Linked DNA regions of Drosophila melanogaster. The protein of the gene in region 1 interacts with the protein of each later gene in a pairwise test. Each region holds a gene or a part of one and is shown on either strand. Other genes may lie near its edges. The genes, in order: CG5217, CG16852, Nplp2 and CG3625.

Region 1 (3,333 bases):
GGGTCCGGAGTTTGCGCAGATTGTGCTCAATGTTGGTAAACATCGCCCAGCTGTTTATCCTGATATGCAACTGGTGTGTTTCAGATTTTCCAAAGTACTGACACGAGATAAGAAAACTACTCATTCTTGAGATATATCTATATCTACCTCTTTGGAACTGAGCCAAGAAATTTGCACTGGTATACTGATACTGAAATAAAGTTTAAAATAAAACTTTCTGCACCCTTATTCCTTAATAGCACACCTTCCAACAATTAAATACTCATTACGTGATTTAGTTAGCCAACTTTTGGGGGTGGCTCATCTTTAGGGCTTCCCTCGAAAGTGAAAACCTCAAATAATTCTCGGGCTTGTCTGGCTCATGCGGCACCTTTTAACCCCACTGTTTGCAACGCAAAACATGAAACTCGTTTAGGTAATCAAAACCCCCCAGTGAAGACGTTTTAACAACCGATTTAACTGAACTCTGTGACCCCTTAGACGAACAAAAACGGATGGATTTACCACAAAGGATGACATGACAACATACTGGGGTCTTGTATGTGTTTATTTCGTGAGCTCGGAATTATCATTTGTGGAATCAAAGCGAAAATGTTTGTTCTTGTATGTATGTCAGTTAGCAGGGATGTGTTTGAAGAGTATATATTGTGTAAGGTTGAATCAGCTCCCTAACTGATTTCTAAACCTTTGCCTCGAGATCGGTAGAGATACTAGACATCGGGTTTGATTAGTGTTAGTTGAAGACGGCTAAATGGAAGCCGCATTCTCGTGATCATTGGTAGACAGCTGGCCGCCCTCTAAGGCACTGACAATCTCCTGACCGGATGCCTTGCTGGCAACACTTTTGTTGGGCTTCGGGTTGGGTGGCTCCGGATCTGTGCCACGTTCCATTTCATCGTGCTCATCCTTGACTGTCGGCTGAGGATCGGTATCGGGATCTTGGCTTACTGGTTGCAGTTCATGGACTTCTTCAGACTCGTTATCCTCTTTATTGGCATTGGTCTGCCCTAAAGCTGCGTTTTGGCGCTGGCTCTTCTGCCGGTTGAACAGTATCTTCCAGTAGGATGAAATGGATGTCTTAATCGTGGGCTTTGCATTCGGCAACGGCTTATCCTGCTCCACGGGTTCGACCACCGAGCTCGAAGGATCTTGAACATCTGGCAAGTGGGGTTTATGATTATTCAAGAAGAGCTCCTTTTAATTGTAAGTCATTAGGCAATCATTTTTTTTTCAACAAATCATATTTAATACCAGTCAAAAGAGCTTACCCTTATTGGCTCCCTTCATCCGGGTAAAGAAGCGACTTATAGTGTTTGACTTTCCCAGGTCCTTGTTGTCCTGGGAGGATGTCTCGTCGTCATCCTCCACTTGGTCGCGCATCATTGGCTTCTTGCTGATCTTAAAGAAGCGCTTCAAGGAATTGGACTTTGGAGCGGGGGCCACCTCGGGACCTTCCACAGACAGGCCCTCGGGGTCGGCAAGCGGAATATCTTGCAGACTGGACATCTTCGTCCAATATGTCCACCGAAATTTTATCGAATTTTATTTACAATAAAATATGGCTCGGTTTTGTACGAAATATAAGATTAATGTGACTGGTGTTGTTGAATTGAACACCAGATGCAAAGTGTCAGAAAATCCAGAGTCAACTAGTTCTTGTCACCTTTTATGAAAAGTAGAATTCAGTTAAGTGAGTTTAAAAAGGATTTTACAGCCTTATAAGTTTGAGATTGGTACTTTACATATATATTGTAATTTTAACAACTCATGTAGATAAAAACAATATCAATTTCGATTTCTGCTGCCACGTTTTTTTGCATTTTCCTTGGCAATTTGGCTACGTTTGGTTAACATGTGTTAACAACGACATCGAAACAGGTTTCAAATTGATACGACTTTGATTTCATTTTCTCCCGCAATCGAACTGTTTCCCGGCCAGGACAAAGCCAAACTGGACTGAAGCCTGCAGCCCCAGAAAAAAGAGCTGAAATGAAAGCCAAAGGCAATTCATTCAATACGTGCACACAATACCCCTTGTTATGCTACTGCTGCTGCTGCCCCATTGTCTCAAATGTTCGAACTTCGAAGTCCGTCGTCCGTTGTCCGCCGTCCGCTGTCCAGTTAGTGCTGCAGTGTTCCGTTTCTGAGATGGGGCCCACCAACAAAGTGCTTTCGCAAAATCAATTGAAGAGCTGGTGGCGATTCCTGCTGTCGACACTGCGCCATCCCTACGTCTCTGGCCCGATCCCTTTCCGTGGTCCTGGTCCTGGAATCGAGGTCCGTTAATTTATGTAGTTATGTATTGCCGGTTGGTTGGCCAGGATACCCGAAACAATGGACAATTGCTGCGGCACTTGCAGCATGCTATTGTCTGGCGAAGGTGTTGAAATTCTGAAAAACAGATATACATTATCGTACCAATTTGAAAGCCATTAAAATTCATCAATTACTTACTATAAGAGTGCAATACCGTGCATCAGAAGAAGACCAACGAATGGTGAATGAAAACAACGTTTAAAACATTATACATGTATCTTGTTTAACGGTAGTAGATACTTCATATGTTTGCCCTTTAATTTGGCAGTTTTCATAACCCTTGAAGTGATTGCTCGTGTCCTTCATTTATTTATGTCCAACCCCCGATCTTTGATAAAAAGTTAATGAAAAAACCCCACGCCGCCAACAACAAAGGGACATCAATAAATCATCAGTAATAAAAGTATAAGGGAAATGAACAAGGATAATGCAAGGCAATCCTTTTGCCCGCCGCCAACAGCTGCTCACCCACTCCGCTGAAAAGTGTGAAAATGTCAGCGGCGACGGGGAGCTAACCCCAACTGCACCACCTCCCCCTCCGGCTATTATGCTCGCCCATTTGTAGAGTGGGCGCCATATAATGGCCAAAACGGAAATGTTGTTTGCAGCCAATTCATTGCCAACACACAGTTGCGAAACGGCAAATAACAAACAACAAACAGCATAAACACCCCCTGCAGGCTTACGCAGGAGCAACACCATCGCGCTGGATGGGAGTTGGTGGCGGCGCAGGGATCCAACTGTGGTGCAGTGTTGCGGTGGGGCAGTGGGAACAATGGCATCAGCAGCGGCAGAAACAGCAGAAGCTGCAACTGCAGACCGCAAAATGTGTTGCCACAACCCTCGGGGCAAACGAAGCTGGAGCAGGAGCCGCATCTCTTGGACCGGAGTTGTAGATGGAAACTCATAAGTTGGTCGTCTGGCAGACAAATCCTCGGAGCAAGTGCATTCATTCATTGGCAATAACAATCAAACTGCTGTTGGCAGTACACAATCCCTTTCCCTGCCCATCTCTGG
Region 2 (2,986 bases), on another chromosome or scaffold:
TTATATGAGACGGACAGCACGATCGATTTGCGTGCCCCTCGGTGCCGCCTCAAAGTAGGCAACACAAATAAAGCTTAACATCATGCCGCCGAAGGGGCGAATTGGGAGCTGCGAGCTGGCGGATAAAGGATGGTGGCCACTCAATCCCAGTTGTTCTGCTTCAACACTTTCGCACAAACACCAATCAACTGGCAGATGAATCAAGCGCAGGCGTTGGCTGCCCAGTTAAGCCCACTCCGTAGCACCCACAGTCCACACAGCCCACGTAAACACCATGCCCCCCATCTTCCCGCGCCCTGAATTCAATTTTTTGGACAGGCGACAAAACTGCGCCACAAAGGGGGAAAAGCGGAAGCAGCGGCAAAGCAGGGAGATGCAGTCCATGGCAACAGCATCATCCAAAGGCAAACACACTGGCCGGCACATGCGAGTGGAAAATCAATAACGTGTACGTTTATCTTATTTTCTCGTCGCAGCGTCTGCTGTCGTTTCATTCCCCTTCTTTCAAATATATATAAATATAAATCTTCGGCGCACTTAAGCCTTTTAAATGATAACAATGGCCGGACCAAAAGAACCATTCCTTCCACCTCTGTTCCCTCAACAAGCCAACGAATAAAAAACACGACCACTGAGTAGCAGGTGCGCACTGGACACCAAAGGACTTACTCTACTATAGGACAGCAACGAGAAAAGTTCCACATCCAAGCCCCTTGGATTTTGATTTCCACACTGCAAATGTGCGTACTTGCTTGCCACATGCCACATGTATGTACGTAGCACCCGGACAAGTCGAGATATTCCATGAATTTATTATGTCCCCTCTGCTTTAATAGAGTTTCATCGAAAAGTTTCCCTCGAACAAATTATGAAATATACGGAGACAGCTTTTTGCCATTGAACGGAAATTGTGGTTTAAATCTGGGGGATGAATTTTGATCTAAAGCGAATGTGCACAAAAAAATATATCAGATAATAAAATGGCAGTTTATGTGTGGCCTGAAGCAAAAGTTTTTATCTTATTTTATTTATTGTGTTGGTATATTAAAGTAGTTGTTTGATCTTAAATTTCGGGGTAAATGTTTTTGACCTTGCAACTTCCAATAATTATTAAAATAATTACATATTTAGACGGTTCTTTTTTTGAAAGTCTTTTGAAAGTAAATTCACCAGGCAAGTGAAATCTCAGTTAAGGAGCTACCCTATATTTTGCTTTGGTTCCTAAAATGCACTTATGCAAAATAACATTAGTGCAGTAGACCGTCATAATTGTCATATTAGACAGGAAAATCCATAGACGACAGTCGACCCTGAAGTGTCGATGGACAGCAGCTTCTGGTTTTGCCCGGCCAGACAGGAAAGGAAATTGCTTAATTTAGCGCAAAAATTATCCACTGGCCAACGAGGCTCAATTGCCGGTCTGCCATGGTCGTTTGAGGCAGATGATAAAGCAACCCTTTGCTACGAATTTTTAGCCAGACTGATTTTAAATGACAGAAATGGTAGAAAATAAATTTAACTCACACTCATGATTTTCACACGAAAAACATATTGAATCACAAAGGCAAGGAGCGACTAGAAGAACTCTACATGCTTAGTTCAAAAAGTGACACTTCTGGAGACGATATCTCTATAACTGCACAAGCAGAAAAAAGAGTGGATGATAGCATCAGAGCGCCATCTATTGGCTGGAATGCTGAGCACAAAGATGTTCAGATTCCAAGGGACCAACTAACCCACAGGCAGATCAGCAAGTGCAATTTGTTTGAGGAATACATCAAGCTCCCAAAGAGTGAATATGGACAAACAAGCCGCATGAAGCGATTCCGATCCGAAGAGTTAGCTATTAAGCAAGGTAAGATAAATGTATAATTCCGTTCTTATTGAAGGGCTAACAGCCTTTGATATCTTAACAGAAGATCAAATCGTGGAGCATAGATCATCGAGTCTTTCGCGGCTATCGGATGTCACAATCAAGCCCACCTGCGAGGTGAGTAGTCAGACTTCGTGGACAGCAGCGGACGAGAGTAATATGAATAGCAAGGATTTGGAGGCGAAGCTGGCGGCTGTACGCGGCGGTGGTATCGATCTCGAAACGGACAAGCCCAGCAAGATCCAGCAGCACACGATCCACATCGAGGTGGAGTCGGTGACATCGGCCACGGCTATGCAAAGACCCCCACTGCACCAAAGGATGTGGCAGGTCCTTGTGCAGACGGCGGATACGATTGTCGCATTCGCCTCTATAATCGGCGAGAATTTAACAGTGGCACTCTTCATTGTCCTGTGCCTGTGGTGCCTTTACCTCTTACTAAGCCACTTTTATGGCAACTTGCAGACCAATGTCGGCATGCCGTCCAAATAATTGTAATAAGAATGATTCGTTTTGCACGTGATTGTATGAGTAAAAATGCAGTAAACAGAATTAGCAGAACAGAGTTCCAACCAGCATTGCGCATTCTAATTTATCTCAACATATTGGGTGTGCAACAACACATGATGGCGAGACTACAATATAGTGCCGAAGCGAAATCGGTTAGCATATAGCAAAAACGATCGGCCAGCGGTGGTCGACCTAGTGCATTTGGAATCTGCATGGAAACGGCATCGATGAATATCGTGTGACGTGTCGATTCGCAGGGTGCCAAAGCCGGGGCAAAGTCCACAGGACAAACTCTAATGCGCCGGCGCGGCTGTTCCGTCTGCACGCCGATCGAGTGGATGTCCTTGAGCACATCGCTATCCTTCTTCCTGAAGATCTCAACATCGTCTTCCGAATTTTCTGCGGGTTGATACAGTTATAGTAACTATACTAAATAAATGCGGGTGACATCTGGTTTCACCAAAATGAAACTGTTTATGGATTTATGACAGTAGTGTTATTTTTCAGAGTTTTCAAGGACAACTCCAAGAGACAGTTCCTATCTTTTTTTTATAGATTGGTTTATGCATTATTTTGATATTTTTTACCTTCCGCCAATGCCTT
Region 3 (3,121 bases), on another chromosome or scaffold:
GCAGATTAAGACCCATCGGCAGCTCATGGAGAATGTCCGCCGCAACTACGCCCATGTGCTGGAACTGCAGACGATTCTGGAGCTGCTCCGTCTGCGAACCTACCCCACGTTGGGTCCACCCCTGCCCCAATGTCATCCGCCAGTGCCGGAGCATATCCTCAGTTCGGTGCCCTAGGAGAACTTCAACCCGACCAACCAACAGACCAGACCGTGGGGCTAAGTTTTAGCCACTTGGCGAAATTGCAATTAAATATTTTCATTCCGCCAAATGAAAATTTATTAGTGGTTCTGGGTATCTGGTCTGGGTCTTCTGACTCGTGCTGCCACTTAATTGGGTTTGTTTGTGTCTGGGGAAAATTACGAAAACGAGGCATAAAGTCGTGCACTTTGAGCTCTGTTTGCTGTTTAGTTCGTTGCTCCCGAAACAAACTCTACTCTTGACTAACTACTTTTGGGGCTTAAGTTGGGGGAAACCCTTCAGCATCGCACTTCACATTTATTGTTTTAATGAATTGCCCTTGAAGACACGAGAGTTGATCCGAGAGATCAAACTGTTGCAATATAATACAAATAAAAAACCCCGATTGTCACTTTATATGGCTATCATATCGTGATTACGCTAAAAATACGGCAATACACGACTATTATTCTAATTATTATTACCTCTTTTAACCATTACGTAATCTTCGGATTTACTCCGAGCAGTAAGCCCTTATCTATTCAGCTTTCAAAACCAGAGAACTGTAATTTCTTTACTAAATATGCGAATTCATCATTTAAATTACTTTAACCCCTGGAGGTGAGCTACAGAATACACTATTTTTGTTAGTTCAGTTTTTTTACCGCAGCATCTATGTTGATAATAGTGTTTCGTTATTTCTATTCGCCTTTTAAGATGAGTTCACCATGCTAAATTTACGTTTTTGATATCCAAAGTCTACAAGAGTAGCTCTGTCTAAATATTCTGAAAGCGTTGTTTGGTTTGCCCAAGTCCAATCGCATTTGCATTTCTCCAACTTAGCTTCGCGTTGGAAATTTCCGGGTTGCTTCGTCAAATTTTCTAATACTCGGTATTATAAATATTTATTTTGCGCAATTACATAATTTCGAATGTAGGGCGCCTTATCAAAAGCATTTAAAAAAAACCTTATCACGTGCCACGTGCTTTGCATTGATAGCCGGTAAAATGGAAATTATAGTATAAAATAAAATTGACTATATACCTGTTACTCGTACAGAAAGTCGACTATAGCGTTATCTCTTCACTTTAACTATATATAAATATATATTTAACTAAAAAAAATGCTTACAGAAATATTAAAATATTTGGTCTTTAATGAAAAAAACAAATAAAAGTAGATAAACAATTCCGATTGCTGGATCGAAAGGCCTTCAGAACAGCTTAGCTATGCGAGCCATTGAAATGATAAGCACACATTGTAGGATATGTATATTCCAAATTTATACAGTGGTAATTCCATAATTATTTCTTGTTGAAATTCAAATTAAAAATATTCTTAAATTATATATTTAAATCTTTGTTACGGGCCAAGTGCTAGAATACTGGATTCGAGGATAGGGCAATACCATTAAGTCCTACAGAGATTAACTATTTGGCGGTTGCATAAAGCGGTTATCTTCTGTGACTAAACAAATGTAGACATTCTTGAGCCAAGCAAACGCTCAGCTGTTATGCGAAGCAATCTATTCCAGCATGCTACGGAAAAAAGTACGCTTATCACGGGTCAGCTCCGTAGCTCTAAACGCTCGGCCTTCCTAGTGCCGATAAGCCGGTCTCAAATTCGGCCGGCTGCGGCGCAAAACGAGGTGTCGTTATGAGTAGTTTGGCAGAGGTTCAATCAGTACTCAAGTCATCGTTCTCTAGTTCAGAGTTCCGCAGCAGTTACAAAAAACCAACACAAAAATGGCCAAGCTCGCAATTTGCATCCTCGTGTTCGCCCTGTTCGCCGTAAGTAAAATGCTCAAAGTCCTGGCACACAGATGCAGGACCTATTTTCAGAGATAAACTACAATGTGGCACTTTGATTTCAGTTGGCTCTGTCCGCCCGCGTCCCCCGTGAGGAATCCAATCCTGCCCAAGAATTTCTTACCAAGGCCCAGGGTGATTTCAACGAATTCATTGAAAAGTTGAAGGCGTTGGACGCGAAGAAGGTTGAGGTAATTATAAAGCAATCATATCAAAAATAAAGCGAGTTCTAAGTAATTAATAGTCATTTTTCGTGGAGACGCTTAAAACTCATTCTATCCACTACATACGTATTTTCCATAAAGTATTTACGAATTTCTAACTAACAACTTTTCTCTCTGTGTAGGGTCTCTTCAAGGATGGATTAAATACCGTGCAGGAGGGTCTGCAAAAACTTAACGAAACATTTCTTCAGGCACCAGCCGCATCCACCTAAGACGTTGTTGGATGGCCATATATCATTACATTGAAAACGACTCCAATAAATGTTTTAACTTTAACTTTAGTTGTTACATACATGAAAACTAAAAAATGAAATTAAAACGTTAATTGTTTTTAGCACAAAAACATATATTTGCCTATTACTTTAAAAAATTTTTCCATTCCACTTTCTAGAATAGCTATTTTATTACCTTAAAATTGGTAAAATTGAGATGTTTAGATTGAAAGATGATTTTTTTATTTATATTTCTTTTATTCTGAGAAAATATGCTTCCACGCATGAATTTGACTTGGTTAGGATAAAATTATTATAATTATGCCAATTTTTATTAGTACGGCCACCGAAAATGGTTAATTGCACTTCCTACAAGCTAAGTTATGGAACTTTTCTATACCGTTTTCACTGTGTTATTAAAGATTTTAGATGCTGAAGAGTGCTGATCTCGCTCTTCTTCGAAGAAAATTGCAGAAAATCAAAAATTATTGCCATGATTTGAGTTTCGTAAGAACAACTGGCTTTGAAACGGTAGCACGCGTGAAATATTTGTCAGCTATTTTGCACACCTGTTTGGCGCAGCCAACTCGGGGAATGGAGGACGAAATGTGAGGGCTTTCGAAACCATGAATAATGTATTGGCATTTGTACGGCATCGCATCTCGGGGAATCCCCTCCGATCGCCCAATCTAACTTCA
Region 4 (4,745 bases), on another chromosome or scaffold:
CATTGTTATCGCCGAAGAGATCGTTCAGCAGAGCCAATGAGTGGTAGATGGCCTGTAGAATGACGTCCAAGAAGGTAAGGTACTTGAACTTGCCGCCCCACCGCGCCTTCAGTTCATCCTCGTCTAGCAAATCCGTGGGCCAATGCACCCGGAAGTAGTGAAAGTATATCCCATACGAAAACTGCGCTGCCGCCAGGAGATGGACCAGGAATCTCAGGTATTTGAAGGCACCGCTCGTATAGGCATCGTTGCAAGTGTTCAACTGGGCTTTAGTGGCCTCGACAGCTTCCTTGGCGGCGTTGAACTCGCGCACCTGCTTCTTGCTCTTGCCCATTTCCTCCAGAAAAGGTGCAAAGGGCACCGCACGCTGAGCAAAACAAAACAAATAAAGCTAGCCAACAGCTGATTAGGGCGCAACACACGTCGAGTTTCATTCCAGCAAGGAGGCGTTTTTAAGCTAGAACTAGCTTTTTAAAGCCAAATCGATATGATAGCGCCACTTGACGTTTCTCTGATCTTGAAAAGCAGTTTATTCCAAGCTTCCCACCTTAAAACAGTTTTCGCAGCTGATGAAGAGTTTAATCGCTTTATTATGGTACTAGAATTGAATAACAGTGGTATTCAAAGATGGCGTTGAATCAGTGTGCTTGATATGAGAAGTTTAATCGAGAAGGCATTTTTGTATTTTGGTTAGTCTAGTAAACTTATCGAAAGACGCGCGCGCTCAATGGAAACTACGGCTATAATTTCAGTTACAATGTATGCGTAATAAAAATATAATGAATATCATTAGCAAACGGGTTTCCATATTATGATTAAAGACTCCGAATTCAATATTACTGGAAAATATATTATCGAGTTGATGTTTCAAGTTTCGTTTATTATTTCTCACATATTTTGTACGCCTTCTTCAGTTAACTTTGCAGTACGATTTTACATACTTATGAAAAATTTCTTTGGCTGAGAAGATCGAACAATATGAGCAAAATGTATAATCGAGACCTGTCAATCACTATTTGTATTTTGTGGCTAATTAACGCAACTACATCGAACAGAAACGGGTCACAGCCTCCTAGTTGGATTTGCGCTTGGCCAACTTCACTTCCTTGGCCCAGACGGTATTGTTGAGGAACTCGCCCAGCAGGTAAAGTGACAGCGTGAATCCAACGACGGCCGCAAAAAACAGGATGCGTTGCGGAAGCTGGAGAACCTCGAGCACTGGATACACCCACACACCCGAGTAGTGCTTCACCACGTGAATCCAAACCAGGTAGGCGCCCATGAAAATGGCCAGTCCTGCGAGTCCTTGGCTTCGTTTTGGGTACGACCTGTACGAGATGAACAGCTCCAGGATGATGAAAACCACTATGTTGGTGTGCAGGACGTGGTTGAGCCAGCTGAAAGAGTCGAGCGAAGATATTATCAGAGTGTCATGAAAAAACAATGGGTGAAATCAAGACTTTTCAGACCACTTTTTTAATTTTATCCCTAAATATATTATGACGTACACATCTTTCAAGCTTTGTCGTAGCAAGCTATCTGAATAAATTAATTACTTTGAAAGTAAAACCAGAGCCCCAAAACGAGATTATAGGGTCTTAAGGTTTAGTGTCTAAGTAGCATTTTATGAAGATGGTTTATTACTGAAATGAAAGGAAAAACGTTGATCTAATTCCTTCAAATGTATGAGTACTTGTTAGGATATATATATAATTGAAAGATATAGTTCCAATTAAATCGAACTTAAAAAGCCTGGATATAAAGAAACACAATTAACACAATACCGTAAATAGGCATGTCAGTGGTATAGAAAATGGATATGGCTTGAATTAGACATGCTTAGAATGCTAATCTGGTCATGATTCAATTTGTTGAGCAGAATATGCCTTATGCCAGCCAGGCCACCTTGATATCACCAGCTTTCGAGGTCTTACCTGGGGAACACGGGGTCCAGAACCTTGGGGAAGACTAGCTCCCTGTCGATAGCGTACAGTGTCCAGAAGGTCACGCCCACATTGATAGCCACTGGAAAGGCCAATGTAGCCATCAGCCAGTCCTTGAACCTGCGAACCGCCGGAGGTTTCTTGGGTGTCAGCTCATTAGTGCCCACGAAATCGTTGACCAGCGATACAATATAGTACAGTGCCTGAATTATCTGTAAGTGCAAGAGCATTTGACGTGTGTGAGATAATGCGAAAGCGGCTAGATTTGAAGGGTTGCTTAAGTGAAGTGGAAGGAATTACAGTTAGCGAAAAAACGTTGCACAAGCATTTCCTGTACAATTTCAGCGACAATAGGAGGCGAGATGTGAGTTTGTTAGTAAAGCACTGAATTTGGAGGGATTCAATTAGTTGCTTTGCAGTGGAATGGTATATATATATATTTATTGTAAAAACTGCTTTAGCGAAAGTTCTCCATATAAGATCTTCAAAAAGCTCTAACTTTTATACACTGGAGACCTTGACAAATCCTCTTCATCACTCAAGAAAAGCCCATGATTCTAACTACTGTCCTATTCATTTTCTCTGTGTATCTTAATAGATGCGTGCGTACAAGTAACAATCGGAGTGAACTTTAAACCACGCTGCGTTCGTGATTCTAATGGGAGATGGATATTACCGCATCCAGGAACGTTAGGTATTTGAATTTGCCCCCCCAGGGATGATGGATCCTCATCTCTGGCTCGCTGGTGGGGAACTGCACGTAGTTGTAGTCGTAATAGATGCCGTAGCCAAATTGCACGACTGCCGTCAGGTGGAGCAGGGTCCTCAGAGCCCCGTAGACGCCCTGGTACACGGAGTTGCCTCGCACGGATGCCATTTTCCTGCTGCAGCTGCTCTGCTCTCGATTGATTTTTCACGGCACCAAAACACAAACAAACCGGTCTGGTCTGTCGCTCCGAAAGTACTACTGCTTGCGAGTCGGAACCACCCCAAAAAAAGGGGCGAGCGGTGGAACAGTGTGCCCGAGCCGAAGCAGGGCCGCAATACCAGGTGTTCGGATATACACATATATGTATGTACCCCCTTGTAGGGTTGTAAGCTACATCGAGATTTAATATGAGCTAAAGTTTTAACATTTTGATTGTGGGCTGAATACATCTGTGAAGATGTGGATTCATTTTAAATTGTGACTAGCTTTGTTGAATTTGTATGAATTTTTTGTTTTTAATTTATAAATTCGTGATGTAATTTTATGAAAATATTATTTTCTTCAAAACCATTCAGAAATTGATGTTGAAGTCAATTCTTTGACGATAATCATGAACGAAATCTAAAATATTCACTCTCGTCTACCGTATGAAGCCACATATCATTCAGGTTGTATCAAAATACATTGTTCTAGGCCAAAGGTATCTTTACTGACTACAAGCGATTAGATTTGAGTGTATGGGATCGAACTAGAACATCAGACCATTACAAATCAAAAACCAGTTATGCATCGCCTTCGTTTAACCGGTGTAGAGATTTTCGATATGAACGCATCGGCTTACCGCACAAATAAAAGTTAGGAACTTAAATTTTCCGCCGAAGGGCACCGTGTTGGGCATGTCGAGTGTGTGGAAGATGTACACGCCATAGTTGAACTGCAGCACGGCTGTAAAATGGAGGAGCAACTGCACCGCCTTGTTAAAACCCGGCGAAGTGGAACCTTTGCTAGTCGATTTTGACTTGGGCTTGGCCATGTTGAATCTCCTGGTGCCAGATATGTACTGATTGTGGAGTAGCCAGAGTCCAGTCACTAGCAGCAAGGAATATACGATTGCATACAGTAGTCACTCACTAAGCACACCTCCAAACAATCGTGAAACTCTTCAAAGTATTGCTACAACATGCTCGACTGTTCACTGTATGTATTTTCGCTTTCGCTTTGAAACTGATAAGGTGCGCTTATCACCCGCACTCTCAATCGCCGTAGTACAAAGTATTTCCACTTCAGAATGAATTGGCAGAAGCTAAAATGAAATCCGAAAGCGGTCGCTTAATCCGCATCGGTACGCCTCCGTCCCACGTCCCTAGATCCGTGCATATCTACGGATTCATATCCTATGGCAACTGGGGGAGGCACGTGCCTTCCCAAGCGTGTCTATGAATAGATACGGATACACATGAGCCACATTTATGAGCCGGGGGACAAAGGCTTCTGGAAATATCTTCGCAGCTAATGGCAACTATCGTTTCCCGGTCCCATCACCACCAATCCACCCCCTGTGAAGGTCAAGGAACAAGGCCATCGCGACAAAAGGCACCGCTAACTGAATTACCTGGTAAAATTATCAGGTGCTCTCTTGGTTCTTTGCCCTTTCGTTACACGCGATGCATCGATTGTGCGTTAGTAATTGATTCACTGAACAATAATATCCGAAAATATTCACGCAGATCCGCCTACAACTTGTAAATAGAGTTAATTACTGGACCATCTGCGCCCAGGAACATTTATAATGTAATCATAACAAATACTTTAATAAGCAGATCTATTAATATACATATATAGAACACACAATCTTAAAATTGTACATCAGATTATACGTGATGCTCCATTGGTGCTTTCGAATCAGGTTTCTATGTCTTATTTTTGAGAATCTTAATTAGATGGTCTCCTCGTCGGTGTCCGCCTCGCAGGTTTCCAAATTGATTTCCGTAAGCTCCTGTTCATCCACCACACTTCTGGCGTCCAGATCACCAGTCTCCATTTTGGGGACACTCAGGATTTCATCCTGCTCCTGCGACTCCTTGGCAGCCTCC

Evidence for each region.
Region 2: the proteins of CG5217 (region 1) and CG16852 interact in a two-hybrid assay, tested with the Drosophila melanogaster proteins (one large-scale study listed by BioGRID).
Region 3: the proteins of CG5217 (region 1) and Nplp2 interact in a two-hybrid assay, tested with the Drosophila melanogaster proteins (one large-scale study listed by BioGRID).
Region 4: the proteins of CG5217 (region 1) and CG3625 interact in a two-hybrid assay, tested with the Drosophila melanogaster proteins (one large-scale study listed by BioGRID).

The regions. Positions count from the first base shown.
Region 1 is NT_033777.3:19,246,522-19,249,854, forward strand, and holds CG5217 (uncharacterized protein), read right to left. Parts: upstream 1,616-3,333; 5' UTR 1,507-1,615; coding exon 1,269-1,506; intron 1,158-1,268; coding exon 748-1,157; 3' UTR 531-747; downstream 1-530.
Region 2 is NT_033779.5:13,539,210-13,542,195, forward strand, and holds CG16852 (uncharacterized protein), read left to right. Parts: upstream 1-1,541; 5' UTR 1,542-1,590; coding exon 1,591-1,855; intron 1,856-1,916; coding exon 1,917-2,365; 3' UTR 2,366-2,437; downstream 2,438-2,986. Other genes in the region: CG9263 (uncharacterized protein), read right to left, coding at 2,466-2,782, 2,971-2,986.
Region 3 is NT_037436.4:13,354,675-13,357,795, forward strand, and holds Nplp2 (Neuropeptide-like precursor 2), read left to right. Parts: upstream 1-1,701; 5' UTR 1,702-1,924; coding exon 1,925-1,969; intron 1,970-2,052; coding exon 2,053-2,178; intron 2,179-2,333; coding exon 2,334-2,423; coding exon of another isoform or gene 2,424-2,522; 3' UTR 2,523-2,549; downstream 2,550-3,121. Other genes in the region: CG17687 (uncharacterized protein), read left to right, coding at 1-175.
Region 4 is NT_033779.5:282,814-287,558, forward strand, and holds CG3625 (uncharacterized protein), read right to left. Parts: upstream 2,914-4,745; 5' UTR 2,821-2,913; coding exon 2,620-2,820; intron 2,156-2,619; coding exon 1,935-2,155; intron 1,443-1,934; exon of another isoform or gene 1,398-1,442; coding exon 1,073-1,397; 3' UTR 572-1,072; downstream 1-571. Other genes in the region: CG11601 (uncharacterized protein), read right to left, coding at 1-334; amnionless, read right to left, coding at 4,589-4,745.